3 linked regions of the Drosophila melanogaster genome follow. The protein of the gene in region 2 purifies or fractionates together with the protein of the main gene of each other region. This does not show direct contact. Each region holds a gene or a part of one and is shown on either strand. Other genes may lie near its edges.

Evidence for each region.
Region 1: the proteins of ZC3H3 (region 2) and sbr purify together in Drosophila melanogaster (affinity purification with western blotting; 2 studies listed by BioGRID). This does not show direct contact.
Region 3: the proteins of ZC3H3 (region 2) and Pabp2 purify together in Drosophila melanogaster (affinity purification with western blotting; one study listed by BioGRID). This does not show direct contact.

Annotation. Positions count from the first base shown.
Region 1 is NC_004354.4:10,838,242-10,848,778, forward strand, and holds the start of sbr (small bristles), read right to left. Parts: upstream 8,852-10,537; 5' UTR 8,348-8,851; coding exon 8,251-8,347; intron 8,187-8,250; coding exon 8,026-8,186; intron 7,959-8,025; coding exon 7,866-7,958; intron 6,841-7,865; exon of another isoform or gene 6,679-6,840; coding exon of another isoform or gene 4,864-6,678; exon of another isoform or gene 4,449-4,863; coding exon of another isoform or gene 4,005-4,448; exon of another isoform or gene 3,964-4,004; intron 1,655-3,963; exon of another isoform or gene 1,413-1,654; coding exon of another isoform or gene 1,272-1,412; intron 1,215-1,271; coding exon of another isoform or gene 1,146-1,214; exon of another isoform or gene 989-1,145; intron 1-988. Other genes in the region: CG15210 (uncharacterized protein), read left to right, coding at 1,146-1,214, 1,272-1,412; CG15209 (uncharacterized protein), read left to right, coding at 4,005-4,448; CG32669 (uncharacterized protein), read right to left, coding at 4,864-6,678; Pgls (6-phosphogluconolactonase), read left to right, coding at 9,259-9,397, 9,529-10,004, 10,124-10,240. UniProt on the Drosophila melanogaster protein: Mediates the export of the majority of mRNAs from the nucleus to the cytoplasm. In ovarian follicle cells, plays a role in transposable element silencing regulation by enabling the nuclear export of flamenco (flam) transcripts and subsequent piRNA biogenesis.
Region 2 is NT_037436.4:8,504,851-8,515,245, forward strand, and holds ZC3H3 (ZC3H3), read right to left. Parts: upstream 4,914-10,395; 5' UTR 4,795-4,913; coding exon 4,127-4,794; intron 4,029-4,126; coding exon 3,483-4,028; intron 3,386-3,482; coding exon 3,190-3,385; intron 3,132-3,189; coding exon 2,748-3,131; 3' UTR 2,619-2,747; downstream 1-2,618. Other genes in the region: Pus7 (pseudouridine synthase 7), read left to right, coding at 5,235-5,353, 5,414-5,601, 5,663-6,034, 6,090-6,192, 6,252-7,674; CG6683 (uncharacterized protein), read right to left, coding at 9,346-9,791, 9,850-9,997; CG6765 (uncharacterized protein), read left to right, coding at 10,239-10,315.
Region 3 is NT_033778.4:8,127,321-8,138,301, reverse strand, and holds Pabp2 (Pabp2), read right to left. Parts: upstream 6,872-10,981; 5' UTR 6,579-6,871; intron 6,382-6,578; 5' UTR 6,269-6,381; coding exon 6,170-6,268; intron 5,913-6,169; coding exon 5,511-5,912; intron 5,361-5,510; coding exon 5,227-5,360; intron 5,162-5,226; coding exon 5,122-5,161; 3' UTR 5,094-5,121; exon of another isoform or gene 4,825-5,093; intron 4,688-4,824; 3' UTR 3,928-4,687; downstream 1-3,927. Other genes in the region: Lpin (lipin), read left to right, coding at 1-67; Obp44a (Odorant-binding protein 44a), read left to right, coding at 3,291-3,335, 3,406-3,792; CG42516 (uncharacterized protein), read left to right, coding at 7,158-7,610; Pbp49 (PSEA-binding protein 49kD), read left to right, coding at 7,674-8,807; Socs44A (suppressor of cytokine signaling at 44A), read right to left, coding at 9,507-9,978, 10,041-10,597. UniProt on the Drosophila melanogaster protein: Involved in the 3'-end formation of mRNA precursors (pre-mRNA) by the addition of a poly(A) tail of 200-250 nt to the upstream cleavage product.

The sequences.
Region 1 (10,537 bases), on a different chromosome or scaffold from region 2:
CCCACTCATTCATTGCGCATTAATGCGATAAATTTATTTATTACGGGCATTAGCTGTATACGATTATATGTATATTTTGGCTCTTTTGCGTCTATTGGTTGCCTCGATATGGTTAACCCTAACTTTCCATTGACTAAAACATACGAACAACATAAACCCCCTCGTGATATCGCATTCAAAAATGACAAATTGTTGTGTTTTTATTAATTTACAACCATTGTGTATTTGAATTTCCCCGCAAAGTTGATGTGTCATAGGATCTTTAAATAAAGTTTGGTCCTAACTACAAAGGTATTTATTTATATTTTTTTTGGGACTAATTCTGCTAATTAGTTAAAAGCTCTATATAAGGGTGCCCAATTTAAGCTGTTAATGGCCCATTTGGTTTTTTTAAATGAACCAAAGGAAGATCATAGCACACAATCCTCTTGGAAGGATTTTGACATTAGTTGTCACGTTGCAACTTTGAATAGTGCCACCAAATAGGCCACAGACAACAATGGCAGCCTTGAGTTGACACGCTGCACCTGCTCGATGGGCAAATGGAACCGTTAAGGCGACAAGGCCAGTGGTTCCCATTTGAAAATAAAGATGATGACTGTGACTGTTTTCAAAGCGGGAATCAGATCGGATTTGACATTCTCGGGAACATAGAGTTTCGAACGGGGGCATTGAGGTGGGTGGCTGGCTGGTTGGTTGTTTGGAATGTGAATGGTTTGTTTGTACAGCTCACAGGCATACATGGAGCTATACATATACTTATTGTATTCAACACAATACAATATACACCGAATGCGAGTACTGGCTGGCTGGCTGGCTCGCTGGCTGAGACATATTTCTAGAATTGATATGGAGCTATATAGCTATGACAACCCAACTCCGGCGTCGCAGTCGCAGTCACAGCTGGCGGCGCAGCTTGGGTTGGGTTGGGTTGGGTTGGGCTTTCGGTTCGTTCGTTTGGCTAACAAGTGAACACCACATCGAACACCGGCATTCGCTGACAGACGTGCGCCGATGAAGCAGCAACAAGTTACTGGCCCCCGATATACATTAATATAGAACGAAAAATAAAGGCATTCCGAACCAAACCATTTATACCATATATACAACGAATACGTATTTCTATATACGCACAAAACCAAAGAATGGGAGGCTGTTGCTCAAAGGATTTGGATGACAAACGCTCGTGGAGTCCCGAGGAGACCAAGAATGGCGTACGACACCCTCCTCATAATATATGTAGTATCAAATGTCTAACACCTCGTTTCCAGAGCACCACATCAACAATCATTGCCCAGCCGCTGGATGAGGTGGGCACCACCGGTGTCTTCACATTGACACGCACCACCACTAGCACCACGCGGCAGGAGAAGACGGTGACCACCACCAGCGAGGAGCAGGAGCAGGATTAGCTGCCATCAGATTAACTGACGTGAAAAGAACCAAAACCTTTTTTTTTGAAACCATTTCAATGCCAATGTGTGCGTGAGTGTGTGCGTGAGTCTGTTGTGAGTGTGTGAATAAATAATAAAAAGATAATGTACATACGAACAATGTGAATATGAATATGAATCAAGTTAAGCTGTTAACGAGTAATTATTAATTGTTATGCGCCTGAATTTCAATATCGTAATAAATTGTTGAATCGCTAAATATTGCACTTGGCTTTAAATTAAAAGGCAAACTCGGGCTTTCATTCAAATCAAATACAGTCTTATAAAGTGGCTTCGATTCAGGAAATCATCAATCACTTTTGCATTTTTTGCATTCAATGGGATAATTTCATATAGAACAACCTTAAAGCTATGCATCTATAACTATTTAACTATCTACAAATATCATTAAATAAGTGCTGCTTTTGCTTTTGATTATAATATTCGCTGTTCAATGCAATTTTTATGAATAATGTTTAACAATTGTTGCATCAAACTTGTATTTGTTTCAAAATATGTATTGAGAAACGAAATCATAGTTAGAAATAGAAGTTCTTAACTGTTCTGTGATCGGTGATAGTTCTGAGTAGAAACTAGTACTCAACGAGATTCGCTCATCCCATATCTACTGTATAAATGTGGGATATGAGATTGGCAAGGTGGGAATCCGCAGGAGCGCAGGTTGGAATCGGCGGAATCTGCCAGTTCAACTGGCTAGCGATAAGAAGGGAAACGATCCAACGCATTATTGGTCGATGACATCAGGAGATGCACACAAAAGAGAGTCAAGTGGATTGGTTGCTGCTATTGGGTGCCCTTGATAGGGTACCTCCCATAGCTGGCTATGGAGCTATCCTATACAGTGAGTCAGTCAGTTGTGTTTGGCCCACAACACGGTTATCAACGCTGCTGACAGTTCTGGGTTTTTTTTTTTTCTTCTTTTCATTCTCAACCAAAAATGACTAACTAACCAAAGCGGGCTGGCGCACGTGTTTGCAGTCTAATAAAAGCTAACAACGATCAGTCAGTGGAATGTTTTGGCCATTCCATTCGCACGTACATTTATTTTATAAACACTTTATATACATATGTATGTATATATAGCATAGCACATACATATGTATGTAGGTTGCTCGCATGCCAGATGTGAAACCATTAGGAAAATGCAAATAAGACTGACAATTGCGATTTTCCATTTAGAATTTACATTTATCAATACTTACTTCGTCGCACGTTACATGCAACTTGACAATCTCGACTTTTTTTCAATTTCCATTGTCACTCAAGAACGTCGTTACGTGTATTTGTCAAATCGTTATAATTCAACACATAATAGCGCAATATATTTAACAATAATTTCTTTGTTGACACTAATTCGGCATGCACTACAAGTTAGACTATGCTATTGCAATTTGTTTATAAAAAAAAGCTTTTAGCAACGCCTGAAGGCAGGCAAAGTAATTGTAGCAGTGAGTAATTAAATAAGCCCAATTACCGATAAGAATTTAAAACTCTAGACGAGGTATCTCTAGTTGCTTTTCAACTGTATTCCATTAGAATTGTTGCAAATAGAGCAATAATTGTTTGTGTGAAATATGAACATGTAAATGTAGAATAATATCATTCACATTTTGACCAATCAAACAAAGTTCTTAGACCTAAGATTGCCTGACCGATTGGTTCGGTACACAAGGAAACATTGCGACTGATTAACGCGGGGCGCGTCGTCCATTAACCCATATCTACTAGAAATTATTAAAAACTCTCGACCATTACAACTCGTTCAATTGGCTATGAATAAGAGCTGATAAGATTAGGCCAAACCAACATGCAGAAAATAGAAGACGGCGAACCGAGTGAGCACAAACTGCGCAGATAAATTGAATTGGAGGCGGACAGAAAAAATAAAAAAAAAACGTAGCCAACAAAAATACACAATAAAAAACGACGAAATGCGGGATCTACTACATACAAAATACAAAATACAAAAGGCACCAGCCAGACAATTAAATAACATATGTACCAGGGGTCGATGTTGTATAGTGTATAGTATAGTGTATGTGCTGCATATGCAGATAAAATAATTTAACCGACCCTACACACTGACTTTTCAATCAAAAGCAGCCCCCCAAACGACAGTGCTGCGCTTCGTTTCCAGCGTATTGAATTAAATGGAACATTTTTTGCATAACATACAATAAAATATACATTTTAAAAACACTCACTGCTCATCTATTACAAATTTATATAGTTTTAGAAGTAAAAGAATCTATATCCCCGCCTTACTTGCAGTTTAATGGCACCATTGTTTGCCAAAATCCATGGCATTCGAAAGTAACCAAAAAAAATAATAGCCAAATGCTGGAAGAAGAAAGCGAATGTCTTCGCCAGCCAGCACTGCCACACGGGGCGTTCGAGTGAGCGATAGGGAGCCGAGCGAGCGTACGAGCGGGTTGGAAGGCAGATAGAAATTGGAGCGCACCCCGAGAGTCGAGTCCAGGCCACGATCGATCGACATGCGACAGGCGGGCAGCAGTGCCACAGCAAAGCTACTAGCAGTCGGACGTAAACATGAAACCCATTGGGTGCAACAATATTCCGGTCATCTTCCTGGTGATCCTCGGCATGGTCAGCCTGGCCAATTCGCTGCCCATGAATCCCGAACAGGAGCTAAAAGATGTCGACGAGCCATTGGGTCAGCAACGTCAGCATAAACAGCAGCATGTGCAGCAGATGCAGCGCATGGTGAAGAGCGAAGCGGTGCCAGAGTCGGAGTTCGTCGGAAAAATTGCGCCACGCAATGAGCAGAATCCGGAGGATGAATACGATGCCGTCACATTGGTGGAGGAGCTAGAGGCCGCCGGAGTTAAGCTGGCCGATCGACGTGATCTGCGCAAGCTAACCTACACGGAGCTGGCCCGCCTGCTAGCCCTATGGCATCTGTCCCAGAATCGCAATGTTTACAATGCCAAAGGACCGGAGGAGCAGCCCAATCAGGCCATCGATGAGCGTTAATTTAGTTGCTTAATGAGTAAGCTCGTTTATTTAAAGCCAAAGTTCACTTAATATATATATACATATATATATATATATATATTTTGTGTGACAAGAGAAAAAGGCTAGTAGTACGCTCCACGGAGAACGAAGTGGGATGACCCATGCAGATATACATACTATGGCAACTATATGATATTCTCCGACCTGACTTTCTTTAGAACATTATAAGGAGCATTGTAATTCCAGCAGCAATTCTTTCAAATAATAGTTTGCCTCATTTTTAGACTCGTATAGAAATGCAAATAAACTAAACCGTATTATTGTACAGCAAAGTTATTATTTCTTGCAGTGATAGCTAATGGAGAGTAACTAAGGTCAAAACGGCGCTACAAAAAAAAAACAAAAGAAAAAACTACTAAGGTGATGTGTTCAGTTACGCCACTGCCTTGTGTTTCTCCCACTCGATCTCGTCCAGCCGCGGCGGCGCCGTAGCGCTCTCTGTCGTGATGCCGCCAATCTCCGAACTGGTGCCGGTGACCACCAGGAGCGGCATTTGTCGCCGTTGCAAACGTTTGGCTATCGGCGGCACGAAGAGATCGTGCTTGATTAGCGTGCAGTCCGCATCCTGGTAGATGCGTCGATTGTTGTCCCATTTCAGCAGGGCAAACAGCCAGGACAACAGCCATCCGCCAAAGAAGGTTATCAGGAAGCCCAAAGCAGCGTACCACATGTAGCTAATCCTGTACAGGTAAAAGTAATGCTCTTCCTCGGCCACCGCTATCACAGTCTTGAGGAAAATGTCGCGGGCAAAGCTCCTGTCCACCGGACATCCAGCCGTGGACATATCCAAGCTGACCAGCGGTGGCTTCGGTTGTCCGAAACCGATCCAAAAGCAGAACGCCAGCGATATGAGCAGCCCACCAATGGCTCCCTTTTCATTCGCCTTGGTCACATACATGCCCAGCGTGAAGAGGCCCAGCAGAGGGCCTCCAATGATGCCGAAGATTGACAGTGCCGCCTGCAGTAGTCCGCCAATTGATCCCGCCATGAAGGCCATGCCAATGCAGAGGGCTCCGAAGAATAGGGACAACAGCTTGGAGTACCACAAGGTCTGACGGTCGGTGAGCGTGCGTTTGGCACAGCAGCTGACCAAGGGCTTGAGGTAATCCTCCAGGGTGACGGCTGCCAGCGAGCTGATTATCGAACTAATCGTGGAGAGGCTGGCGCAAAAGATTCCCGAAACGAAGAGGCCAGCCAAACCGGTGTATTCGCCCATCGTGTCCACGACAAAGAGCGGCATCACTTGATCGCGCGAGTTGACTCTACCCTCCAGCAGCGGGTCACAGTCGCGGTAGTACCAGTAGATGCACAGACCGGAGAAACAGGTGCTCAGACTAAGCAGGCACAGAATGGGCAGGCACCACCACAGGGCCGCTCGAGCGGCACTCAAACTCTTCACCGCCATCAGGCGCTGGACCTGCGTTTGATTCACACCATAGATGGCCAAATAGGTGGCACATCCGCCTAAAATCTGGGTGAACCAAGTGTGACGTTCCGTTGGATCCACACTGAAGTTGGTCAGATTGATGCGTCCGTTTTCCTGCGCCACGCGCCATATCACCTCCAAGCTGCCCGCCTTCACCCAGGCACAGATGATTACACTGAAGACAGCGGCGAACATGAGGAGCGACTGATAGATGTCCGTGATGAGTACGGCCTTCATTCCGCCGAGCGTCGCATAGAACGTGCACACGACTCCAACAATTACGATGGAGAAGACCTGGCTCAGTCCAGTGACAGCTTCCAGGGCCAGAGCCGGCGCATAGACCACAATGCCCATGTATAGGACCATCTGGAGCGAGAAGCTCAGCGAGGCGGCCAATCGGGTGGCATAGCCAAACCGCAGTTCCAGATACTCGTACACACTGGCCGTCTTTAGGCGATAGAAGACCGGAATGATGAGGTAGGCGGCCACCGGCGTGGACAACACATACGACAGATTGATCACGACGAACATTGTACCGTACTGGTAGTTCTCCATGGATACGCCCAATATGGTGACGGCCGACATGAAACTGGCCATCAGGCTAAAGGCCACAGGCGCCACGTTCATGGAACGATCCGCCAGAAGATATTCGGTGGTGGTGCTCTGCTTGCCGCCCACGAAACGGTAGTAGATGCCAATCGCAACGGAGATGATCAGCACCACCGCCAGGATCGTGTAGTCCCAGGCGCCCAAAGTAGCCATTGCAGATGCCGGGTTTTAAGTGGGGCACGTGTTAGGCTGATTTTCCCGACGGAACCCTAGTCGCACATCTAATCACTCCAAACTGATAAGTTGCCCCTAATCGGGCCTCTTGAGATTCAAGCGATATATTCTATGGGGCGTCGGACGTTGGAACACGTCTTCACCGTCTGCCGGCCGTCGATGAAATAAAGGCCCAAACGGAATGAAACCGCAAGCTTTTGTTGGTGGAGAGTCAGCATTGGGCATTTTACTATGGCATTTACGACCCCGTCGAGAGATAGCGACCTGTTGTGTTGCACCACGTGCGGCTGGATAGGGTGACAACCAGGCGAAGGATAACCCAACCGCAGGCCCGCAAGCCCTTAAAATGGGAAACCATTTAGGTGAGGGTCATGGCAACTGTCAAACCACCAAAGGCTCGACTTCATTGCACTTTTAGCTCGTGCCGACAAACACTTGTGGCTGGTACTGTGGACGACTGTGTTTAGCCATCCATAAATATTTATTTGCCCGCTCGTCGGATTGCAATTGTAATTGTAGTACCCGATTGTCGTTAGCTGTGTAGAGCTGGTATCCCCCCGGCCCAACTTTGGCTTGTTTGCTTTACGATTTTTACGAGGGAAATTAATTAATAAACACAAAGAGCCCAGTCGGCAAGTCGGCATTGGAGCTTTGGAAGCAGTGTACAAATAAACAAATAAGTCTCAACATTTCGCTGTAACTTATGCGATTCTTGCCGGATACTTTGCTCCCTCAACGCGATCTTTTGCCAATAACAAAAAAAAAAAGCCATCAGACGAATCACATGATGTTCTTGGAGACCAAAAATAGTTCTATGACTGCTGTCGTAAATCTGGTATCTATATGGACCAGTCTGGGGTTTGTAGTTCTATGTAGGGGCGGGAAATTAGTAGAGCACTGGAGCAAACTTCTGGAAGTTTTATGTGACGTTAGTAATCTAAATACTTAAAACTACATTTAACATATATGTACTTCGCATAAGAAGAGCCATCCAGTAGAACAGTCGATTAATTTGTATAATGGCGAACGTTATAAATCTAACAGGTGCTGGAGGACTGAATGCTTTTGCTTCTTTAGCTTAGTAATAAAACTACTATTAAATCACATGATTTTGGTCTGGGCCATTGCGGCTATGATATCTATATGACATGGTAGTCCAAACTCACCGTGACTTGGTACCAGCCAAAGCTGTTGGGCATCAGTTTGCCGAACTTGCCGCGCGGAATGGGCGATCCCCGACGTCGGGAGGTGGGTCTATCCTGTTGGAATTAATTATACATTAGATTAGAAATGTGCATAGGGATAACATGTGGGGTTGGTGGGCACCTTAACGGCCGTGGTCATGTCGCTCATGTCATCATCCTCGTCCCATCGACGCAAATCTTCGGGTCGCAGCTTGATGTCCTTTTTGTTATGTAGACATTGGGAGGGCTTAAAGCTGACGCGCCGCTTGTTTCGATCCTTGCGTCGCTGGCGATCCTCCACATCTATAGGAATACATTATATTTAGGTTACTGGAGGGTTCATTTTCTTGCACTCCCGTGTACTGACCAAAATCATCGAAATCCTCGGGAGCGTTGTAACGTCCGCCGCCATTTCCAACGTTGTTGTTGTACCGCTGGCTACTGCCACCGCCGCGTTTGGGCATCTTACTAATATTCACTCAAAAACGTATGCAACAAAAAGATATGCGAATTTCAGCACGTTTTTAGCTGAGTGGTGTTGTGTGTTTGTGTGGGTGCTGTTGTTATTACTGAGAAAACTGTCTTGAGGGCAAAAAACTATGTGCGATGTATTTTTTGCATTCACACAAACTGCTGCCAACTTCTGGAAAAATTTTTCTCGACTTCCTGAACCTATTTGCTAATATAGCAGCAAAGTAGCTGCTGTTTTTTGGCAAATTTCCACGGCCAAAGTACAACGCAATTTTGTGAAATTTAATTCACTAGCGATCTTCTTTCGATAGCCAGTGGCCGATGGTTGGCAGAAACTGGACGGATGTTTGCGACCTTTTTACAAGTTATTCTTCGAGGAAATTTGATTTAATTGCCACCAAAGCGAAAAAGTTACGAAAACTAACTAGAAATATGTAGCGAGCGAAGTATATTCGCTTGATGTTGATATTGTTTTCTTAATTTCTGACAGGTCTATCGATGATGGCGGGCCAACTATCGCACAGGTCGTAATCAGTGATGACACTCTAGCGCAGAACAACCGCGATAAATCTAAAGATTATTGGCTATTTTTTGTTTTGTTGCAGTTAAACTTTAGAATGCAATATTATTTTATTGGACTGTTTTGAAGAGAGTTACCTCATTCTTACTTTAAATATTATATAGTTGTAGCACACACGTACACACTCCTTTTTTGCTCAATATCAAATAAGTTGTTATTTTACGAATAGAGGTAGTGAAATGTTTTCGTATAAGATTTACTTACTTTCATTTTGTCGCAAACGGTGCAATGTATTTCATAAATTGGTAATCGATAGTTGAGAGAGGGAATGGTGATTACTGACAAATCGAAGTCGAGTCGAGTTTTATTATCAGATCAAGCAATATGTCGGAGAAAAAGGGTGCGCTAAAAGTAATCCCGTCCGCTTCGGAGGAGCAACTTGTCCAGGCCCTGGGCGATCTTCTCCAGCGCTGCTCCCAGGAGGCGCTGGCCAAACATGATAAGTTCAGCGTGGGACTTTCGGGTAAGGATCAACGCACAGGTCATGCAGGTCAAGTGGGTTGGCTTGTGATAAGCCAAACTTGAGGGGTGACCTTGCCAGGTGCGATCTTTAAACTTGTGCTCCCAAAGTCAAGTGTCTTGTTTCGCTTACAGGTGGTTCCCTCGTCCAGTTGCTAACGAAAGCCCTGAAATCGTGCAACTTAAAAACGGCCAAATGGGTGTTTTTCTTCTGTGACGAGCGGTATGTTCGCCTGGATGACAGCGATTCCACCTATGGTGCCTACAGGGCCGAGTGGCTAACCCAATTGCCCTGCATCCAGGAATCCCAGTTCGTCCGCGCCGATACCAGCCAACCGCTGGACGCCTGCGCCGCAGATTACGAGGCGAAGGTCAAAAGTCAAGTCGATCGCTTCGATCTGCTGCTGCTTGGCATGGGACCCGATGGCCACACCTGCTCCCTCTTTCCCGAGCAGCCAGCCACCCTGCAGGAGACCAAGCGCCTGGTTATCCCCATCCGGAACTCGCCCAAGCCGCCTCCCGAGCGGATCACTTTCACCCTGCCGCTGATCAATAAGGCACGGAATGTCGCCTTCGTGGTTACGGGCGCCGCAAAAGCCAGTGTCGTCAAGGTGAGGTCTCTTTAGCTTGATAAGATGGAAAAGAATATGAGCAAGAAATCTGATATTTTTAACCACAATTCAAAAACTTCATTTGTAAGGTTTATTTTTGTTGTTATTATATTTTTTAGAGTGTGTTTGTCGATCTGGACAAGAAGTTTCCCGCTGCGTGGGTGAATCCGACCAAAGGGCAGTTGACATTGATTGTGGACGCGGGTGCTGGAAAAGAAATTGAAACCTTAAAATGACATTCCTTAGTTAACTATCGCATCTTGTAAATAATAATTACCTTGATAATCTTTTCGAGAGCGTTTAATTTGTTGAGCTATTAAGGTTGGAGAAAATAAATAAACACTCCAAATATTGTGATTTTACAATTATTTTTGAATTTCTTTATATATTTATTTAATGTTTAGAAAATGTTTGTAAAATGCAAATCTGGTTTAAAAAAGCTATCGGCAACATGAAAAATATCGATATTTACGCAGTGTGGCCGAACTCGGTAACACAACAAATGGCGCACCCAGTATGACGGCACTCGCGAG
Region 2 (10,395 bases):
TACCCTCGCAGGATGCCGTGCTAATTGCTGTTGCGGCTTACAATGGTCGAGGGCAGTCGTTCATGCAGACGTCGGGTCTTTTCGGCTTGGGTGATGTTGAATTTTCAGTTATTTCTTCATTGATTATTTCTATTTTTGCTGAGTGAGTTGTGGTATTCGGCTTTCTTTGCTGGAGGTTTTCTTTCAGAAAGTCTAATTCGGCAGTTAATTTCTGTGCCGTTGCCCATGGGGGCGGTGTTTTATTTGTATATCATAGCCACTTAATATGTGCTATACCTTTATTTTTGATTTCCTGACATCCGCGTTTGCCCATTACCACACTCTACTCACTCAGTATTTTTGTTTCTTTTTTTTTCATCAGTGTCCCGTCTCTAGGTCTCCCGCACTGGTGTAAGGGGCGGCCTGCCTCTCACACCTGTTGTCGCTGTTTAGAATTCCCAAATCAAATCGGCAATATTAGCAGCATTTCCTCAGTAGTCCTCAGATCGCAGGCTCCTGCCTCACGGTCGCCATGTAATAAACCAATATATGCCACCAATTGAGAACACGTGTTTTCCTTGCAGTTGGGTGCAGCCGTCAGGCCACCTTTTTATTTCTTCTTATCTCTTCGAGTAGCAGAAACGGTTCTGCCCGCTTAACCTCTACAGAGTGTCTGATCTTACCTAAATACTGCGACTGCGCCGCCGTCGACAGCGGCAGAAGAGCAGCGTATATATATATGTATAAGAGAGAGAGAGAGAGAGCTTATGCGCATATATGGCCAGCGGCCAGCGTGGGGATGCTGACTTAGCTTAAAGCATAAATGGGTGATCTTATATCACGCTCACTTGAGACATTTATTTATGCAATGCAACTAAGTGTTGCTGTGTACTTATAGGTACAGTGTACCCTCGATATATGCACATACTACAATGTAGCCCCAAAAGTAAAAACGCCAGCAACATTAATTTTTAGTGGTATCGTGATACAATGCATGTTAAAAGTCATTGTAGTAAAAACCGACCAAAAAGTAACCCCTATACGGCTACTAGGCACCGTTAGTCCGACTGCACGACCCACCGCGATGAGAAAGATTCCAAGATACCCACAGCGTTCCAAACGAGGCCCCAATTATGCAAATTATTAAATGAAAATAAAATCTAATATAATTATTTCGTGCTGGAGATTCGAATTCCTAATGCCATTGTCACATAAATTTCAAGTTTAAGCATTTTCGGTTAAGACTTTCGTTGGGAATTTATGGGGATTCATGCTCACCATGGAATGTGGCTGGAGACTGGAAATCTATGCTTTGTTCTCCACTCTCTTTTCCCCTTTTTTTATTGTTTCTCGCTTTGTTTTATCACAGGCTGCCGCAGAATTATTTTGAATTAATGTAATGGGTGAAAATGTGGCTCATAAAATAGTAATTATACGAAATTAGAGCAAACTTGATGGCGATTTTCCTACAATTAAGCTGGTAATAGGTCAATATTAATGAGTAACGAACGGTTTTCGAAAAATTGTTACACTCAAAATGATTAATGGCGAATATATGCAACCGTTATTTGCTTATTTATCGCAACTTTTGGCTGCACATTATGTAATTTTACATATTTATGCAGCTAAGCGGAGGTTGCATAAATTATTAATACATTTTTATGGCTCTTTGGTGTCATTTTGGTCAGTAATTTATGTAGAATACGGCTGGGCCAACAACAAGAATCCGAAGAAGAGGAAAAAGCAGAAGGAGAAGTCGCACTCACACACACACACACACACAACACAGCCACACACACTGGAACACAAACGCGGGTCAAACAAGTCAAGCAACTTTTTTCACCTCTTTGGCCAATCTTCGGATTGCCTTCCTTTTTTCTCTTTTTTCTCCTCTTGTTATTAGTAGCATTTAGTTAGGAATGCACCAAAGCGAGAACGTATCGGAAAAAATGTACCAACAGCCACAAGTGCACAATTGAACAAAAATTCGGTTGGAAAATGGTTTTGGCCTGGTTTTCTGGACCAAGACGAAGCGAATGAGAGACGTTGTGTGAAAGAGAGTTTCGAAAATTCCCGATCGCGAACAGATGTCAAAGCCAGTGGACGAGTTCAAAGGCCATTTGCCGCAAATCTCCCATGTTTGTGGTCCGCATTTTATTTTTGGTAACTTCACAGCCTTTTCGCTTTTCTTTTTGGCCTGGTGAGCAATAAATTTGCAAGAGCCACCGCTACACACGCACGAGCACTAACACACACTCACTGTTTTTGTTGTTGCTCGAAACGGAATCCGCGTTTGTTGTTCAGGTGTTGTACGAGCCGCATGCAAAATTCAACTGTGGCGAGAAAATCGAGACTCGAATCGAGAGAGCGGCTTAAAAACAGGTACACAACTATGTGGCGCCACAAAATCCAACAACAAGTGGTGCCACCTGGTCACACTGCACGATCGGCATGTTGCCAGATGGTTGAATACACCGCGAAAAAACTGTGATTTATTTTGGTAATAATCTTAGTTTAATAATTTATATACATAAACAACATAAAACGACTAATGCAAATGTTTACATTTTCCTCGAGCGTAGCAAATATATACCCAACCAATAAAATGTATCTTTTATTTATTTTACGCAAATAAATTTGTCTTTTTGAATATTTTATTAAAACTTGAAAATAAGCTACTAAAGATAAATCTTAGACTAAACGTTAAAACAATACTTAACCGAATTAATTTGTACCTGAAACGTTGGGTCCATAGCCTTCGCATAGCCTTATAGCTTTTCTTCGCCACCTAAGGGAATAAAAGAGGGTAGAGTTCCCAGTTGAGGACGTCGTCGAGGGCAAGGGGCACCCGCTTCCTTCTGATCCTCATCCTCCGCTTCAGGTTTCTTCTGTTCCACATCATCTCTAGTCAATATTGCTTCCGCTGGTTCCTTGTGGGACCCAAAGTAGCGTGAACTGGTGGGCAACTCATCCGCTGTAGACGATTCTTTCGCGGTATCCGTGAAGGCGACAGGTTTACTGCCCAGTTTGGGACGCGACTTGACTTTGGCCAATCGCTTTGATGGCGACTTCTTACAGAACACGCACCTGGGTAATTCGCACTTGCCCTTGCGCTCCAACTCGGGACAGGAAAACTCGTGACGTTTGTTGCACTTAAAATGTTTTGGAGTTAATAGGTTTTCAATGAAAATAAGTGGCAGACCTATTTACCTCGGCAGCCAACGGACAGTAGCCGCGCACAAAGTCAATACAAATCTCGGTCTTGCTGCTCAGCTTCTTGTGTAGGTACGGGCAATCCTCGCGAACGCAAACGCCGCGCAAATAGTACCGACAGACGGGCATCTTCTCCAGCGTGACATTATGGGACAGCAGGCATTTGGGTTTGGTGCACTCCCCGCGCAGAAAGCTGCAAGTAAATGATTTCAAAAAGATAACCGCATTGCGAATTTCGAACATTGGACGCCATCGAAGGTTTAGCACTCTTCGCTTGGCCAAGGACAAACCTGACACAGATGGCAACCTGCCGCTTGTCGTGCAGCTTGCGGCACTTGCCACGACTATGGGCAACGCACTTGCCCAGCTTCTGGAAGATGGCACAAGGCACATTGGTCTTCACCAACGATTTGTTGAGCAACGTCAGGCTTCTCTGTTTGGCGGTGATTAAATGGGCTCGCGACACGTGATTACTGGTGCGTACAAAGACATTCAGTGCCTTTGGCGAAGCAACGTAGGTAAGGCCGCCGATATCGATGCGCCTCAGGATGCTACGATTTACGCTACTCTGGGTAGCACCAGTTGATGAGGTTGAAACTCTGGTCAGGCGGCAGCCGGAAGGATCTAAAATGAACTTATTGCCGCTGACGAAGAGCGTTCTGCCGGACAAGGTACGCTGCAAGGTCCTGGGACTCTCCGATTTGGCTACCCTAGCGGAGGAACTGGCATCCAGCTTGGTTATTTTGTTCTTCGATATCTTCTTGTACATCACACCGTGTATGCTGACCATGCTCAGGGATTTGTTAACGCCCAGCTTCAGCGCCTGCGGCTTGGAGCTGTAATAAAAGTTAAGTTAGTTGATGTACATTACCTTGTCTAACAGAGTCGCCTGTTGCTTGACTATTTTCAACTGCTCGTATCCGATTTTCATTACCTCAGTTTTCTGTTGGGCTGCGCTTCATTGGTGCGTCTCAGGGCGTACTGGCCCACAAACTCGCGTAGAGGACGACGCTTTTTGACCAGCGGTGTGCAGGTAAGTGATATGGAACGCACTAATTTGTACCTAGTGCGTTTAGCAGGTGGAGGAGGATGGAGGGCAGCAACCGCTGGCGCTGCTTTCAATGCTCCTTGCCTCACAATTTTCCGCTTGGAAATGCTTACCAATGGAGGCTGCACCAGGCTGGAAACAGTGGGCACAGGTACTGAAGCAGCGAGCTTCACCGCCGGACCACTTGCCACCACTGATGGCTTGCGCACGAGACACGTGCTCACTTTGCTGATGATCTTGGCGGGCGGAGGAGGTGGAGTCGCCAGTAGGTGTATCGTTGGATCCAGTCGATAGTGCGAGGCGGAAACTTGTTGCATCATAAGCTGCTCCTGCTGCTCCCGCTGGTATTGGTCGTACATGGCCCGCTGGCGATTCAGAAAGTGCGGATTGATATGGATCGCGGGCTGAGGCTGCAGTGGCGCCTGGAACGCCTGGAAGGGCACTTGGAACGGCAGCTGATGCGCCGTTTGACCTTGCAGCTGAAAATTCGGATTGATGTACACCTTTCGCGACATAGACGGCTGTGCCTCGTCGGCACTTATATGCGGCAACATTTCGTTGCTTCCTTGGCTTAACCTAATGAATTAATCCGTTCCAATTTTTGGTTATTTCTCAATTTTTACACTTCTTTCCAATGCTTCTTTGTATTGCACATTTTCTTTACATTACGTACGCAGTGTGAACTTGATCTGGGACCAGAAAAATACCAAAAAATACTGAAGTATAAATGAGGAAAATATACTAACAAAAGTTTTATGATATGTTAATATTAAGCATGTTTTTAAATTATATTTATCATACAATATAAAAAAAGAGGAATATTTGCGGATGAACTTATGCTAACAACCATTTAAGAAATCTATTTCCCGAATAAATGGCACATGCGGCCACCCTAATAAACCTAAAAAGCTTATTGTGAATGGGCACATCATATGTTGTGCAAAACGTGGATTTCATTTGCCGACAAATTTTCAAACGCGAATTTTGAACCAAGATGGGCAAGGATCGGGGCAGAGGACGTAGGAATAACCATTCCGGGCCATACAACAAGAGCAACTGGCGTGGTCAGAAGAAGGATCGCCCCCAAAACAATGGTGGCGGTCAGCGCAACAGGTACAAATTAAATCCCATAAATAATATCGTTGTTAACCGGCGTTTTTCGTTGGACAAAAGTGCTCCACAACAGAAATCCACGCTGCTGGAGACCCAAGTGGGCATTACGGAGTTCACTAACCCGGAGGCACCTGGCTTCACGGGAATACTTAAGTCTCGCTTCTCTGATTTTCACGTGAACGAGATTGATAGCAATGGAAAGGTTCTGGAACTGAACGATCTCAGTGTGCCTAAAGTGGCTATTGTGGGTCTGTATTCACCAATTATCCTGCATACTTGCTTATGCTCATGCATCTCATACTATAACAGCTGTGGCCGAAAACGAACTGGACAACTGGCGGAAAGAACTGGAGGCAGTAATCGGCCCGGAAGTTTGGCAGGATATAGCCAATCTGGCTAAGGCCAAAAACGATCCCGCGATCGAGCAAAAGGTGGAGATTGATGTGACCACTCTGGATAAGGAGCAGCGAACACAAGTCCACCAGATGATAAAACAGCTTTACAAGGGCAAGCTACTGTCCACAACCATTGGACAGCAGCAGGCTAAGCCGAAGGTCCAGGAGGAGGCATCTTTGGAAAATAAGGATGCGGCTGAAGGTGAAACCTCAACCCAGAAAGACTCACAGGTGCCGGCAGAGGAGAAGAAGACTATAAAAGTATTTAAACCAAAGCCAGGACGCGGTTAGTAGAAATGATTACCCAGGGAATTCCTTTTTTTATGCATCGAATTCCATAGGTGACAAACGCTGGAGCTTTCCGGCGGATTACGTGACCTTCCTGGTGCACAAAACCAATTTGGTTACCAGCGATGTGGCCTCTACTTTAGCAGCGCGACTGAAGTAAGTTTGATCAAATTTTAAATGCTTTAATATACTAAGAAAACATTATTTTTCTACAGCTTACGACCATCGCAGGTGAACTACAGCGGCATCAAGGACAAGCGGGCCAAAACCACCCAGAAGTTCTCCGTCAAGCGTCGTACACCAGAGAGCATTTTGGTTGCAGCTCGCTCCCAACGGAATGTTCATATCGGCAACTTTGGATTCGAATCCAATACACTGAAGCTAGGCGATTTGCAGGGCAATCGTTTTCGTATTGCCTTGCGACACATTGCCAAGGAGAAGCGAGAAGAAATCGAGCAGGCACTGCAATCATTGAAGGAACGCGGCTTCATCAACTACTATGGCTTGCAGCGGTTCGGCAACAGCGCCAGTGTCCCAACCTATGAGGTGGGTGTTGCTCTGCTCAAGCACGATTACAAACTGGCCTGCGAACTGATCCTGAAACCCCGGGACTCGGATGTGGAGTTTTTGCGTCCCATACGCGAGGAGTGGTGGAAAAATCGCGACTCCGCGGCGGCAGCTGCACAGATCTACGGCGAAAAGTTCATCGAAAAGAAGCTGCTGGACGGCTTGGCCAGATTTGGTGAATCAGATTACTCATCAGCTCTGCGGCAGATACCACGCAACATGCTCATGCTATATCCACATGCTTACCAAAGCCTGATCTTCAACAGGATAGCGTCTAGACGAATTAAGGAGTTCGGCTTGAAATTGATACCCGGGGATTTGGTTTATGTGGAGCAGGATCAGTCGGAAGCCTCGGAAGAGCAGGCGCAGCAGGGCGAGGCCTTGGAAGAGCAAAAAGAAGAGGAGCCTAACGATGAACCTCTGGAAGTCCCCGAAGGGGATGAAGCCATCGAAGAGGAGTCGATTTTCAAGCGAAAGGTTCGCCCGCTCACAGCAGAAGACATCGCTAGCGGCAAGTACAAACTTTGCGATGTGGTCCTTCCCCTGCCTGGACACGACATCACCTATCCCAGCAACGAGTGCGGCGCGTGGTACGAGGAAATGCTCGCCGAAGTGGGTCTTTCCTCGGATCAACTGAAGCACAAGGAGAAGACATACGCATTGGCTGGCGCCTACCGCAAGATGATCATATCGTCCAGTGATCTCAAGTGGAGCTTTAGAATGTACAATACGCCGGAGGATACACTTATCGCCTCCGACTGGGAGCTATTGAAGAACATTCCGGTTGCACCAGAACCAGCTGAAGCTGAGGCCAATTACATGGCACTCCTGCTGGAGTTCTCGCTGCCCACGGCTGCCTATGCCACCATGTTTTTGCGAGAACTCTTAAAGCAGGACACATCGTCAGCATCGCAAACGCAGTTGGAGAAACAGGCAATGGCTAAGGAGGACAATGAAAAGAAGGCGGTAGGAACCCAGGAGGAACAAATGGAGGTGGTAAAGGAGGTGGCCGACGAGGATGGGCAGGAAACTGAGCAGGCGGAAACTCAGGGGGCCGAGGAGGCGGTGTAGGCCAAGTGAGATACCGAAAATCAATATGCTCAGGAAATCAATTTTACGCGCGCTTCGTATCCAACTTCGAACCAACCACAACAATAACAATGCGCACGTGAGGACGAGGGCTGCTCCCTCTCTCTCTCTCTCTCACTGTCGCATCCCGTGGCTCGCACCCCGTCAATCTCAATCGCTCTCTCTCTCTCTCTCTCTCTCGCCTGGGAGAGTCCTTTTGGTCCTGTTTCTTTGACTGCGATTTTATTCGTTCGGTGGCCACCAACGCGAAAGCTCAAGCGACGCGCTGCGCAGTTTCCCCAGCTCAAAAGTCCAAGTCGCACGGTTTTCCCCAGCGTTCTCAATGAAGAGCAATAACAAATTATTAATTGACAACAAATAACGAACAAGCACGGTCCCCCAAAAATCCACGGACTCCATCCAATTCATCCAGTGATTTAAAGAGATTTTAAACCAAATAAAAAAACCAAGAGGCGAGACAAGGTGAATTTCCAGTTAAATGTAGCATTTAAACGTTTTGGGCGCGTACTTTGAAAATCCATTTATTAAGGCGTAAGTATACATTCGAGTCTACAAATTGTTTATAACTTTTACGACAACACTGAACTAAACAATCACAGAACTGTACAATATTTGATTTTGGCTCTGGCAGCCTATTGATTTTTGTTGTGTGCTTGTGCTGGAAATCAATCGATAATACGGTGTTAATACCAAGAGCTGAGTCCGGGGATTGGGAATGGGAATGGTCTAGTGGGTAGGTGGCTGGCCGTAGGAGTAGTTGGTTCATATAGTGGCTTAGTGCGTCGGAGGGTTCACCATGTACGTGTGAAGTAAGGGGGACTCAGTCGGTACGAGGGGGTAGTGGTAGTGTGGCATCAGTCGTTAAGGGTGCACGACGCTCCTCGCTCGTTATGTTTTTGTTTCGGCCCACTGCTCCCCCTGCGGCAGTCGTCAAATTAATAAACTAAATGCTTGTTTTGGCGTCGTCGTCGCCCTGTCCCCGTGCTGGAGGCCTTCCCCCGATCCGATCCAGACATGGATATTGGACATGTTATTGCTTGCGCGCGCATTCTTTGACTCTTTGACCAGTTCCCAGCAGCAGCTGCGTCATAGTAGGAGTTTTTTGGCGTGGCTCAATTCGATTTTCCCTCGCCTACTCCACCTGCTCCCCGCCCGCCTGTTCAAAGTTGGCTTTTGCCACACAGATAGCTTCCTACTGCATTACTATACACTCCCGCAAGTCTCTGGCTCTATAAATGACCTCTGGCGACAATTGATGCTTTGTTTGGGGTTTACCAGTTGTCTTGAATTTTAAATTGCTAATCTTAAGCCTCAAATAAAATAAACTATTTAATCACAGGCGTGTTAATGTTTTATCATATCATACAATGCAATAGTTAGTTTGTATAGTAAACTTCATTAGATGCGAAGATTAGGTTAAATGAATGGATTAACAATATTTTTTAGGGAAGCATACATTTGGAAAAAGAAGTTATTTAGTATTCGCTTAAGATAATTGTCCAGATATATAAACTATAACAAAAATGACTTAATTATTAAACAATTATATGATCAGTGATGTTTGCTACTTTTGATATCCTATCACGGCATGTATGTATTTAACTTATCATCATGGCAATCTTCCTTTATAACTATATCATCTTGGCAATCTTCCTAAATAACTATATCATCGATTTGCTCGTCGTTCAGGGCGCGCAGATTGCATTTGCATAGGTAGGCCAGAATGCGTTTCTCCGCCTTAATTCGGTTTGCTTCGCCCAGTCCTTCAAGCAGGGCTTCTATCCTCTTTTCTGCTTGAGCCACTGGCGTTGCATGGGCAGGATTTGTGGGTGGTGCTGGTGCAGCTCCCGCAACGGCCAGCTGCTCATCCATGGCCTCCTGGAGCGGATCCTCATCATCGTTGACCTCGTCGCTGGATTTCAGTGTGCTCCTACTCAGATCACCCGAATTTCGGTGATTAATCGGATGGTGGTGATGCTGCAGGAATTTCAAATGCGGCAGAAGACTCCAATCGGAGCCAGTGCCTCCGGCCTTTTCTTTGGCCAGCTCCCGACGCTGTTTGGCCACCAGATGATTCCAACGACTGACACAGGCACTAGCTAAGTTAAAATATAATGAGGAATTAGGGAATATTTATACAATTTATCAGTTTCTTACCTTCTGAATTTAATGAAGTGGCGATGCTGCTCCAGATTTCCGGATGTCGCTTCTTATGCGCTTCGTAGGGTGCGTTTCTAAGTTCGCGCTCATAAAGCTTGGGATTAGCCCTAACCAGCTCAATAAGTCGCGTGTCGAACTGCGACATTTTGATATTTTCAAAATAAACACAAATGAAAATATGTAAACAAATGGAAGCTAGCGAATAAGTATGACCGTTGCTTCGTGTGAGAAATATGCTGTCACAAGAGCATGGTGGCTAAACCCTCTATTCACCACTCCTTGGGTGGTGTGGTGGGATCGGGAGATTCAAAATAAACACCCCACTGGCGGCATTTATTGATTTATTTATTGATTTTATCGTTGTACAGGAGCTGCCGGCCGCAGAGATGGCCGCCGAAAACTATCACCTTAAGTGGGACTCACACCTCACCTATCTTAACTCTTCCATAGCCACACTTTATAAGTAAGTACCACTGTACCATAGTTGGTACATATTTGAAGTTTTTTGTTTTTTGTAATTGTGATCTAGCAGCGTTTTTAATT
Region 3 (10,981 bases), on a different chromosome or scaffold from region 2:
AGTCCGCCGCGTCTCCACCAAAAACGAAGTCATTATGGCTTCGCCTCCCAAGTGGATTAATTCCTAGACTAGCTCCAGTCCTAGCCCCAGTCGAAGGTTGTGCAGCTTGCAAATTGTGATGTTTTTTTTAAGAGAGTTAGGATTGTGCTATACCTGTATGTCTGTGCCTGATGTGCCAGGTCAGCGAGCTCCAAGTTCGTCGGCCAGTTAAGTTTCGAAAGTATTCTGCTCCCAGCAGGTCTTTATGTTTAGTTCTAAGGATGACCATTATACATATAAATTACCCAATGAAATATACCTTCACTTTCGCCGTGACGGAACTCTTTTATTTCTCGGAGTGTGGCATGAGTTATGAGCTAGATCCGGTCGTAGACTGTAGTTAGCGTAGAGTGAACATCGGTAATTTAGGTATTCGTGAGTATGAATAATATAATTCTTGAAGAATTTACCATATTAAAAAAAATGCAGTATATCCCGAGGCGCCTTTTCCCGATCGAAAATGTCTAAGGAATTGCATTGCATACCCTCGGGCTGCTCAGATCGTGGAGATCATAGCATAGCCACAGGAGTTGGTCGTAAATGATTCGTTTGAGATCTAATACCTTGCCTTTTTTTCCAGATACTGCAGCATGACGTACATCGTCGATCAACTGTTCCCGCCGGTGAAACTCGACGAAGCCTCCGCCGAGTTCTCCAACTTCAACTACTGGCGCGACCCCATCCCCGACCTGGAGATCCCCGAGCTGGAGACGGCGCTGGTGCCACCGAGCACCAAGGTGGACATGGCCACCCTGCGCCCCATTCCCGAGAAGTGAACTGGCTGCTTAGAAGCCCAGCTTGCGTACTAAAAACCTATTTACATATATGGATATGCAACACACTCTATTTATAGCAGATATAGCGCTTTTCCAAATTGTTTGCCTAGCTTCAAACCTTCTAGATGTGCTTACCAAAAATGAAATATCTATATTATGCATAAGCTTAGCCAGGATTCGCGATTGCCTTGGTTCCATTATCATTTCCTTTCGATCGTTTCTAGTTAAATGGGTGGTTTAAGTTGTAATCAAAATTCAGTTATTAATAGTGACTACTATAAGTATGTTCCTTTGAGACTCCCCGCAGGTTCGTAGATGATGCATATTCCAGACGGCGCATAGGAGTTGTGATTTTGATTTCATTATTTTTCGTATGTGATCATTTAAATTAAGTTAATTGTGATGAGGTTTTTATTTGAAGTTTTTATGAAAACTGTGCTCTAAACCTATGTATACTTAACTGATAGTGTTTCAATACCAATAAATGCTTCAAATTCAAACAAAACAAGTCAAGTCTATATACAATTCTCTGTTTGTGTCTGGAAACCACCTGCACCTGCCTGGCGTCTGGCATACGAATTATGAGTTGACTGGGGACGACACTCGATTCCCAGGCGGCTTCTCATGTTGCAGTGGAAAGTTCTCGCATCTGGCTGGGGCACCTCCATGATCCGAGCCGAGAGCCGCGGGTGCGTTGGCAGCGGGGGGCATTTCATTTGTCAACGTAATTTTGCCAATTCAATTAATGCTCATTTAATGCAGAGCAGGCCGACCGGCCAGCCTACAGCATACACATTGGTGTACAATGGCCCACGGACAACGAAGTGGGCAGTTAAGTGGCCACAAACGGTCGGTCATGCAAACTCAGTGGCAGATCCACAATTACTTTTCCTAGGGGGCACAACTCTCCTAGTATGTACATATGGGGGAATTACGAAAAGCACAGTTTTGCGTATGTGAACATGCCTTTTGGTTCCAAAGTTCTATGAATTTTATTTTCCATTTAAGCCAGTCGCTAAAAAAAAAACCAAAATCTGATTTATACAATCAATAATAAAGACATCAACTAATGACATGAATAATGATTTTGGTTTTGGTATAAAATTGTTTTATATATTCTTAAACAATCGAACGAGCAAGTATGATAACTCAAAGGAATTCCAAATGAAGTTATATTACATCGATGTCATTTCCTAAAATCACGAATATAGCATAAGATAGTTCTATCCCGTGGACCACACCTATGTGATTTGATTTTGGATTTTATACTAACAAGCAATGGGAATCTGAACCGATTTTTCTGCTTATGCTAATGCCACAACTTATATCAGAATCAGCTGATAATATTTCCATTTGAAACTTTGTTGTATAAATTATATTTATTAATAAGAAAAAAAAGAAGGTATATTGACTTTGGCCGGAAAGACGAAACATTTGCGAGCATATAAAGAATATACGTATATTCATGATCAGTATCAGCAGCCAGGTGGATTTCGCTATGCCCACCAGTTCTACTACGCAAACTCAGTTCTACAGATATCTAAATGAAACTACCATTAAAGTTTGTTCTCTAATACTTGTCAGGTAGTATATAAGTAGGAACGGGCCGGATTGGACTTGGGCCATTGCATCACTAGGAATATTCGAAAAAAATGTTGGTCAAAAAGTATTTTAGTTCGGTTTTCGGAATTTTTTAAACAATATATAATTTTGGTTTTAATTTGGTAAAAATCCGACGAATATATATTCCGAACAGTCGGAAAAGTAATTGAAAATGGCAGAAATTAAATCACAGTTCATTTTGATTCACTATGATCTTTATGCGGAATAAAATCTTAGTTTTGATATATAAATTGTGCAATGATATATATCTTTCCTTCCTGTTCTCTATTTAAATTTGGTAATGCGTTCTCTTGGAATGCTAATGTAATGGATAGAAAAATCAAATTAGCTCATCATATAAAAAGAAACAATATAATTGTTATCCTCTTTAACCAGAAGTAAATGCCATTTAAATAAAAATTTTTTTGCTTCATGATAATGGTATATACAAAACTAAGAAAAATTATATCGAGAAAATTACTACTGCTGAACAGTAGTAAAAACCAAATACTGCATTCTAACATTAAGACCAAGCCGAGCGGCATAGCCGCTCTTCTCTATTGCCAGTATCCCTGCAAACTCTTCAATCCTAGATATCATTTTCATATATCAGGTAATCCTTAATTTCTCGTCTCCTCAACAACCTCGACATTATCAAAAAATTCCATAATGAGATTTAAATTACGCCGGCGAGTGCAACTCAATTGAGCGACACTCAAAATCGCCCCACAGTTGAGTGCGACATACCCACATTGAGCGGGGCTCGAAGGTATAAAAGCTGGAGCAGCCCAGACCACAGTCAACAGTTTCCTCCGAGCGAGCATTCAGTCCTCACACAATCTATCACAGAAGCCAAAAAAAATAAGATTCACCATGAAGAACGCTGTTGCTATTCTGCTGTGCGCCCTGCTGGGTCTGGTAAGTGTTGCAAGGAGACAGAAGCCGATGGCAGCCAGTAATCTAAATTCATCCGTTTGCTCCTCGACAGGCCTCTGCCTCCGACTACAAGCTGCGCACCGCCGAGGATCTGCAGAGCGCGCGCAAGGAGTGTGCCGCCAGCAGCAAGGTGACCGAGGCCCTGATCGCCAAGTACAAGACCTTCGACTATCCCGACGATGACATCACCCGCAACTACATCCAGTGCATCTTCGTCAAATTCGACCTGTTCGATGAGGCCAAGGGCTTCAAGGTGGAGAACCTGGTGGCGCAACTGGGCCAGGGCAAGGAGGACAAGGCCGCGCTGAAGGCCGACATCGAGAAGTGCGCCGACAAGAACGAGCAGAAGTCGCCCGCCAACGAATGGGCCTTCCGTGGCTTCAAGTGTTTCCTTGGCAAGAACCTGCCCCTCGTGCAGGCCGCCGTCCAGAAGAACTAGGAGTTCAGCGCAGTTCCACATCAATTCTAGAAGCGAAAGATCAATCAACACGCAAGCAACGCGGCATTTTCGAGTTGAAATCCGCTCAGGCTCTGCAATCCTACGATTGAAATAAAACCATATAATAGTGCTTTTGAATGAAGAATGTTCTTTTTATTATTCACAATATTTCTGAGGGCTGGAAGAGAGGTAGGGCTGCTGGTGGTGGCAGGAATCAAGCTGTTACTCGCATCCTCAATCCCAAAAAACCTTGTCCCGCCCAAAGGAAAGGCATTGATAGCTTATTTAATTCGATTATATTTGTCTTCATCTTTTTCGCTTTAGTAAATTCAACTTCTTTTCTTATCTTCTCTTTACTCTATATATTTTTTTTTTAAATATATAAATTACACACGCACTTTTTATATATTTTGTTGATTTACTTCTTTCCCAAGAGTCTTGTGTTCTTTTGATTTTTTTTTTATATTTTCTTCCTTCTTTATTTGCTTTTGCCATCTTTTAACTTCTTTTATTTGGGGTTTGTGGTTTCTTTTGCGCTTCTTTTATATATACTTATTGTTGTATATACTTTTTTGTTTTTTAAATCAACTTCTTGTTTTTCATAATCTTTTTTTTTTTTTTGATGTTTTATTGAAAATTAAAATGTGTGAAAAGGGGGTGTTTGGTGTTGGGTGCTTCAAAAAACATTATAGCCAAGTCAAGATATTCGTTTTCCTTGTTGATTTTTTATTATTTTCGAGGTCTCTTCTTTTCGCCTGTTTTCTTGCTGCTGATGCATTTTTTATTGAAACGATATTTTTTCTGGCGTTTTCTGTTGCGATTGTTTTCTCTTTTTTATTTAGCAAAGAAGTTTGGCAATAAAATAATGTTTTTTGAAATTATATTGTAAAAAAATCTGAAATCAAATAGTTAATGGATTAAAGACGACAGTCGGTAAATCGAATGGAAGCATTATAATAAAACCCAACACGCTGCGAATGAGAGCAAGGTATTCCCATAAAGGGTTCGGAAAATTATTCTGTTTTTGACCATAAATTTGATTGTTTTTATTTCCCGTAATGATCTACCAGCTATGCAAACTAAATCTATTTAGCTCCATAAAAACAAACGGCATTTTCTAACAACTTAAATTTAACATAAAAAGACGTCCTCATTGGTTTTATAAATTTTAAGAAAAAAAATGTATCAAAATATAAGAGATAGATATCGGATTACTTTATGTAACCGACATAAATCGGACGCAACCCACACATATAAAATTTCAACTATCAATTATTTTCAGTTCGAAATTGTCAACTTACCTTACTAGGGATTTTAATAAAACAATAATCAGTAAGGAGCGTAGTAATTGGCGCGACCACGGTAACCCCTTCTGGAACGAAAGACAGACCGGGATTAGCTCGATCCAATCGGGATTTTCCAGAGCCCACTTACATAGCTCTTCGGGCGCCTCGGAAGGTGGAGTGACAGCACGCCCGGGAGACACGGGCTCCTCGACCCCGGAAGCTGCCGCGTGCGAAACGGTTTGTGGTGGAGAGTCCAGGGCGGTTTGTGCGCTTCGACATTACCTGAAAGTCAATAGATTAAGCTAAAGTCAACTCTAAATATGTGCTTTCAAAATTGCGCTACGTAGGAGTCCCTAGGACTCATTCTATCCACATATGTACATGAGAGTTTGATAGGTAGCAGGACTAGCAAAAAGTGCTTCAGATACTCACCTTTATTTGACGCCCTCGGAAGAGGGTTTCGTTCATGGCCAATGCCGTCTCGACAAACTCCTTGGAACCAAACTCAATGTATGCGAATCCCTTGGGGTGCCCGTCAGCCTTGTTGCAGAGTATGGTTACTCGGTTGATTGTGCCGCATCCGTGGAAGTGGGCCTCCAGTTCCTCGGCCGATGCGCCGTAGTCCACATTGCCCACGTAGACGGACCGCGTGTCGATTTCCTGCTTCTCCTCAAGAGAAAGCGGGACTGTGGCCAAGCCGGTGGTAGACCCACCGGCCATTTGTTTGTCCACCTCCGACTGCATCTGCTTTATCTTCTCGGCCTCCTCTTCCATCTCCTTGACTCGAGCCTTTATGGCCTCCAGTTCCGGGTCGATTTGCATGCTGCCCTCCTCCTGGCGACGAGGAAAATATGAAATTTAGTGGTATTTGATTTGGAGCGATGAGCAAACGCCCGAAACCACAGCAGACAATGGAATGGAGTGGCGGTGCGAAGTGACGCTCTGAAAATGGCAGCCATTGCTGCGGTTTTCGGCTTTGTATATCCCCCAAAGCTTTGCGAGCTTTTCCAGGGAATTCGGCGGGCTTTCGCAAGGCGTGAGGCCAAGAAACTGGTTCTTGGGCACTGTCTACAAGGGCAACCCCAACTCACCTCGACCTCTGTGGCGATCTCAGTCTCTTGCTCCCCGTTCGTCTCCTCCAATGACTCCAGGAGCTGATCCTCGTTCAATGTGATATCTTCATCGGCCATTGCTTTGGATTTGGGTTTGTTTACGTCTGCTACAAAAGCTCGGTTTTGTTGGCGCAAAAGCTTCCGGCGTGGTACTCAAAACGGCAGTTGTCGTAACTATGTATGTATGGTAGCTGTCAATGAGAAAAGGGCGGCGAAAGTGAGCATAAAGAGCGTAAAACATTAAGAGCGCGAATGAAGAGTTCATCATGCAAATGCAGTGAAAATCCAAGCCATAAGTAAATAAATTCAGGCTGCGGACACCGAAATGTCTAGGTTTCACTGCGTTCGCACTACTACACTGATATTTAATTAAACACACTGTACTTACGTTTAATAAATGTACAAATTACGAGCTCGTTCTGCTGACGTTGAGTTCGCCCAAAATGGCTGCCCTGTGAAAACACACGTACGCTGGGTTGCTGGGTTGCTGTTTTTCGTTCAAAAGTCTACGTTTTTAAACCCTTTTCGACTTTGTTTCGCGCCACACCACGTCAGCATAAATATTTATTTATAAGCTTATTTATTTATTATTTACTAATATTTACAACTATACGAAAACGTACGTAGTTTTTGACACAAATTGAAACAGATTTGTGTTCGCCTCGTTTTTACCGATGACAGTTTTCGCCTCGATAGTTTCGATGGTTTGGTGGTGGGTTTACCTATCGATAACTGCCGGTATTTAAGAAAGCAGTTCTTTGGATGATAAAAATAATAGTATTTTCACACCACAATGCCATTTTAAATTTACCATAGGAAGGAAAGAAGAGGAATGTGCACGCACATTTCTAACAAGGTTTTGTAAATGGGAATCAGACAAATTATTGTTTAAGGAAGTCATATATTGCGAAATAACGCCATCATTCAACCATCAATCAGGGCCCATGCATAACGATAAAAGGAGAACATGAACGATTCCTCCGATTCGGAGTACGAGGACACAGAGTACCTGGTATTTGCGGATTTCAAGAACCACATTCATCCGCACCAGCTGAAGCACGAGGACGCGGCCATTAAGATCATCGGAATCGAGAGTGACACGCCCATGGCCGAGGTAAATGGAAGCATTTATCGGGGACGCTACGAACATTCCGTGGGAACCAACGTGTTCTTTGAGAAGGAAAAAGACAATCTGGCAAGTGATCCGCTTTTTGAGTCAGTGTGTCGCCAGCGGTACCAGTACGTGGACAAATCCACCAAGGTGATATCTTTTGAAAGGGTCTACGTGGACAATTTGCACCAGGAGGTGGAGAAGTCGGCTGAGACTGAAGAGGACGATCAGACCGAGCCAAAGCCAGAATCTCTGAAGCTAAATATAACTTACAAGGAGGCTATTAACAAGTTTGGAGAAGATCATTGAGTGTGGAGAACTGAGTCTAATCCTGAACAAAAAACACTCTTTCAAGACATACCTCTTAGTACCATGGATACCACCTATATTACAACGAATCCAGCTTTAAGCCTGCGAGACTTTCTAGCCGACTATCAAAAGAAAATATCCGGTACTGCAGACGAAGTGCCCTTCTTTCTCCAAAAAAACCCAGTACTTGTCGACGTGTCTGAAAGCTGTTCCCTGGACTTGATCGAGTCCCCAGACGACAGCTCGATTGCAGTCTTCCAGCCCGCCGCAGACAAATGCCGCCCAACCTTTTCTCCGCCGCAGGAGAACCAGCATGTGCCCTCCACTTTTACTGCTCTAAGCCAGCACAAGGACAAGTCCCGTAAGTGTCCCTTTGGCCGCACCCAGTACAGCCACAAACTGAATCCGACGCCGACAGACTCGCCTAACCTGCACATCGATGCTTGCGGCGAACTGGAGCTAACCGTGCGTCTATATCGACCACCGCGGGCCTACCATCGCGGGTTTAAGGTGGAGATTCCCGTTTTCGCCGAGGAGTTCGTATGTCTGGGCAGCAATTATCTGACCGAGCTGCGGGACAAGATCAGCTGCGTTTGCAATGGAAAACGGTTTGTCGACATCAGCGACGATCCAGATGCACCGTTGCCATCCATTGACACAAATCCCGGTTACTTCTTCATCAACGACACATTCTACAACGACCAGCGCAATCCGGACAATCCCGACTATTCCAAGACCGTCTTGCAGTGGGCTGCCAGAGCGAACGGAGTGAACGGAGAAACGCTTAAGGTGGAGAGTATGGAGGGCAAAAGATTCATCGATCTCACTGTCAGCCCCGGATCACCGCTACACTACCTGCACCACGGCAATTGCGAACACCTGTTTGTGATCTCCCAGGTAGAGGTGCTAACGCCACTTAGTAAACGGCCAGATCGCAGCCTGTATCCCTATCCTCACGCCTTCAGTACGTTTAATCGCAGGACTTGCTATATGTGCGGCATTCGCAGCTATAGCTTCATCGTGAACCAGTCCCGGCGACAGCTGCACGATCCCTCCTACCTGTGCCGCAGATGTTTTCTCAGCTTCTTTTACGTGGATGGTGTCAAGCTGGGCCAGTTCAAAGCCTATCGCATGTATGACCATGTAGAGCTGGAGGGCGAAGAGGAGGACATTAAACAGCAAAATCTCCCCTCCTGAATATACATATACATTTGTGTGATTTTTTCTTTATTTGCGAGCTCCTTTGACTGCAAGATCGCTCAAGGAGTTGATTGATATTTTGTTCTTGTAAAATATTCATAGATAGATTTAAATAAAATACATACACGTTGCAACAAGAGTAATTGGCATTGAACGTATTCGATTGCCGTAAAGCTGCCTAAATTCCATGCAATCTAGATTAGCAAAAAGTTAGTGTCCAAGTTAGGAATACAAAAATGCAAACAACGTAAATAGTACGATACATCTGGCTTAGAACTTACGTTAATACATATATGCAGTAGTTCAATGTTTAAAAATTTGCTTAAGGATTTGCACACTGTGGTGCAGAGTATAGACTTGACCAGGACCCATATAAAACAAACCAATAGACTAAATATGGCAAATAACATAATACATTATCCTAGACAAGATACTAGTACTAACCGTACTTAGCAGTACAATACAGTAAAATTCTGTGCACTGGGATTCCGGCGTGCACGTGAAGAGAGACTGTGCGCTTAGTTACTGGGGCGTAGAAATGCATCAACAACATATTGCCAATCCGACCAACAAATATCATTACGAACAACTGCAGGCTGGGATTCCATTCGCCCGGACCTCTTTGGTGTACGCGCTTGCGTTTACTTCAGTGTTAAAGCTTTGACCAGCGGCTTCTCGACGGCGGGCGGCGGTTGCCTAACTCTGGAAGACCAGCTCCCGCTCCACCGACAAGTACTCCAGCATCTGCGCCGGCACTGGCAACTGGGCCAGCTGTTCGCGAGACATCTGGCGCTGCAGAACACGGCGGCATAAGTCCTGCAGCTTGGGCATGTTGGAGTACCGGCTCAACGGGTACTTGAGGATCACTGGAAACGGTGGCTGCATCTCGTTGGGAACCTTCACAAAGCACACAAAGTTGTCGTTGGTGCAGCGGTGCAAGATATCTTCGATCATCTCGACAATGGACTCGTACTTAAGTTCCTCGAAGTGCCAAAAATTGTCGCGATATTCCAGTCGATAATGCAGGGTTACGTTCACAATCCGAAAGCTGAGCGTGAATTGGGATCCGCTGGTTTCCGAGTCGCGGACTAGAAACGACCCAGTCGGCTTGTCACTCAACTGCCGCTGCGAATCGCGCCTGGAGATCTCACCCCAGTACCACACTTGGCTAAAAACAAACAAAGGGCATGAGTCATCGATCGTTGATGGACGGAGAAACACGGCGCTTACTTGAGCATCTCGGAGCAGGCCTTGTACATGATCTGGTTGGGCGAGTGGGCGTCCTCGCGCTCAAGCCATTTCTTCCGGATAAAGCGCAAGTAGTCGTGTGTGAATGGTAGCGTGGGTTCCGGACAGATGGCCGGCGTAAGGAACTCGTAGGTGGCATCAGTAGTTCCGCCGTCGTCGCAGTCGCCCATGGAGTGCCAGTTTCGCAGGGAGCTGAGCCCTTGGCCCACCTTCCTTCGTAGTCTGGCAAACACGTTTCGCTTGTCCTTGTCCCGCCTTCTGCGCAGAGTTCCTGTGCCCGTGCCCCCATTGCTGCAGCTGGCCATGGAAGAGTCCGCTGCCTCAAGGACGCACACTTCGTTGTTGTTGTTCTGCGATCCACTGGTGGAGACGGCGGCGGATGCAGTCACGGCCAGCGCCGAGTCGGACTTCTTGCGCCTGGTCAGCGAGTGGAACCAGCCCTTCTTTTCCTTCTCCCTGTCCCTCGGGGAGTCACCACCGCCAGTGAGCGCCTGGCTCCGCTGGCTGCTCTGGTTTTGACTCTGGTCGCCGTGGCTCATTTTGGAGTGGAATCGGATCGGATCGGAGCTTCCTCGTGGTGGAATTACATCATTGATCTAATTCGGAGCCGTGATCAATGCCTAACTTTATTGATAAGAACTATTTGTTTTCGTTGTACACAAGAACTGTCTTATCGCTATCGGTCGTGCGTAGCTGGTAAATGCTATCGATAACATAGGGGAGTTTAAAAAATTAAATTCTCTGCAAGGCAAAGCTTTAATTTATCCATTATTACAGCCCTCTGCTTTAGGCATTTTTAAAACTAACTTAAATTATTTCAAGTAAAATCTCGTTGACTTAAATATATTGTTTTCCATATTGCAATTTTTTAATATTAATGTAGTTTGTCATTCAAATAAGCTTTATTTTTATAAATCGCTACA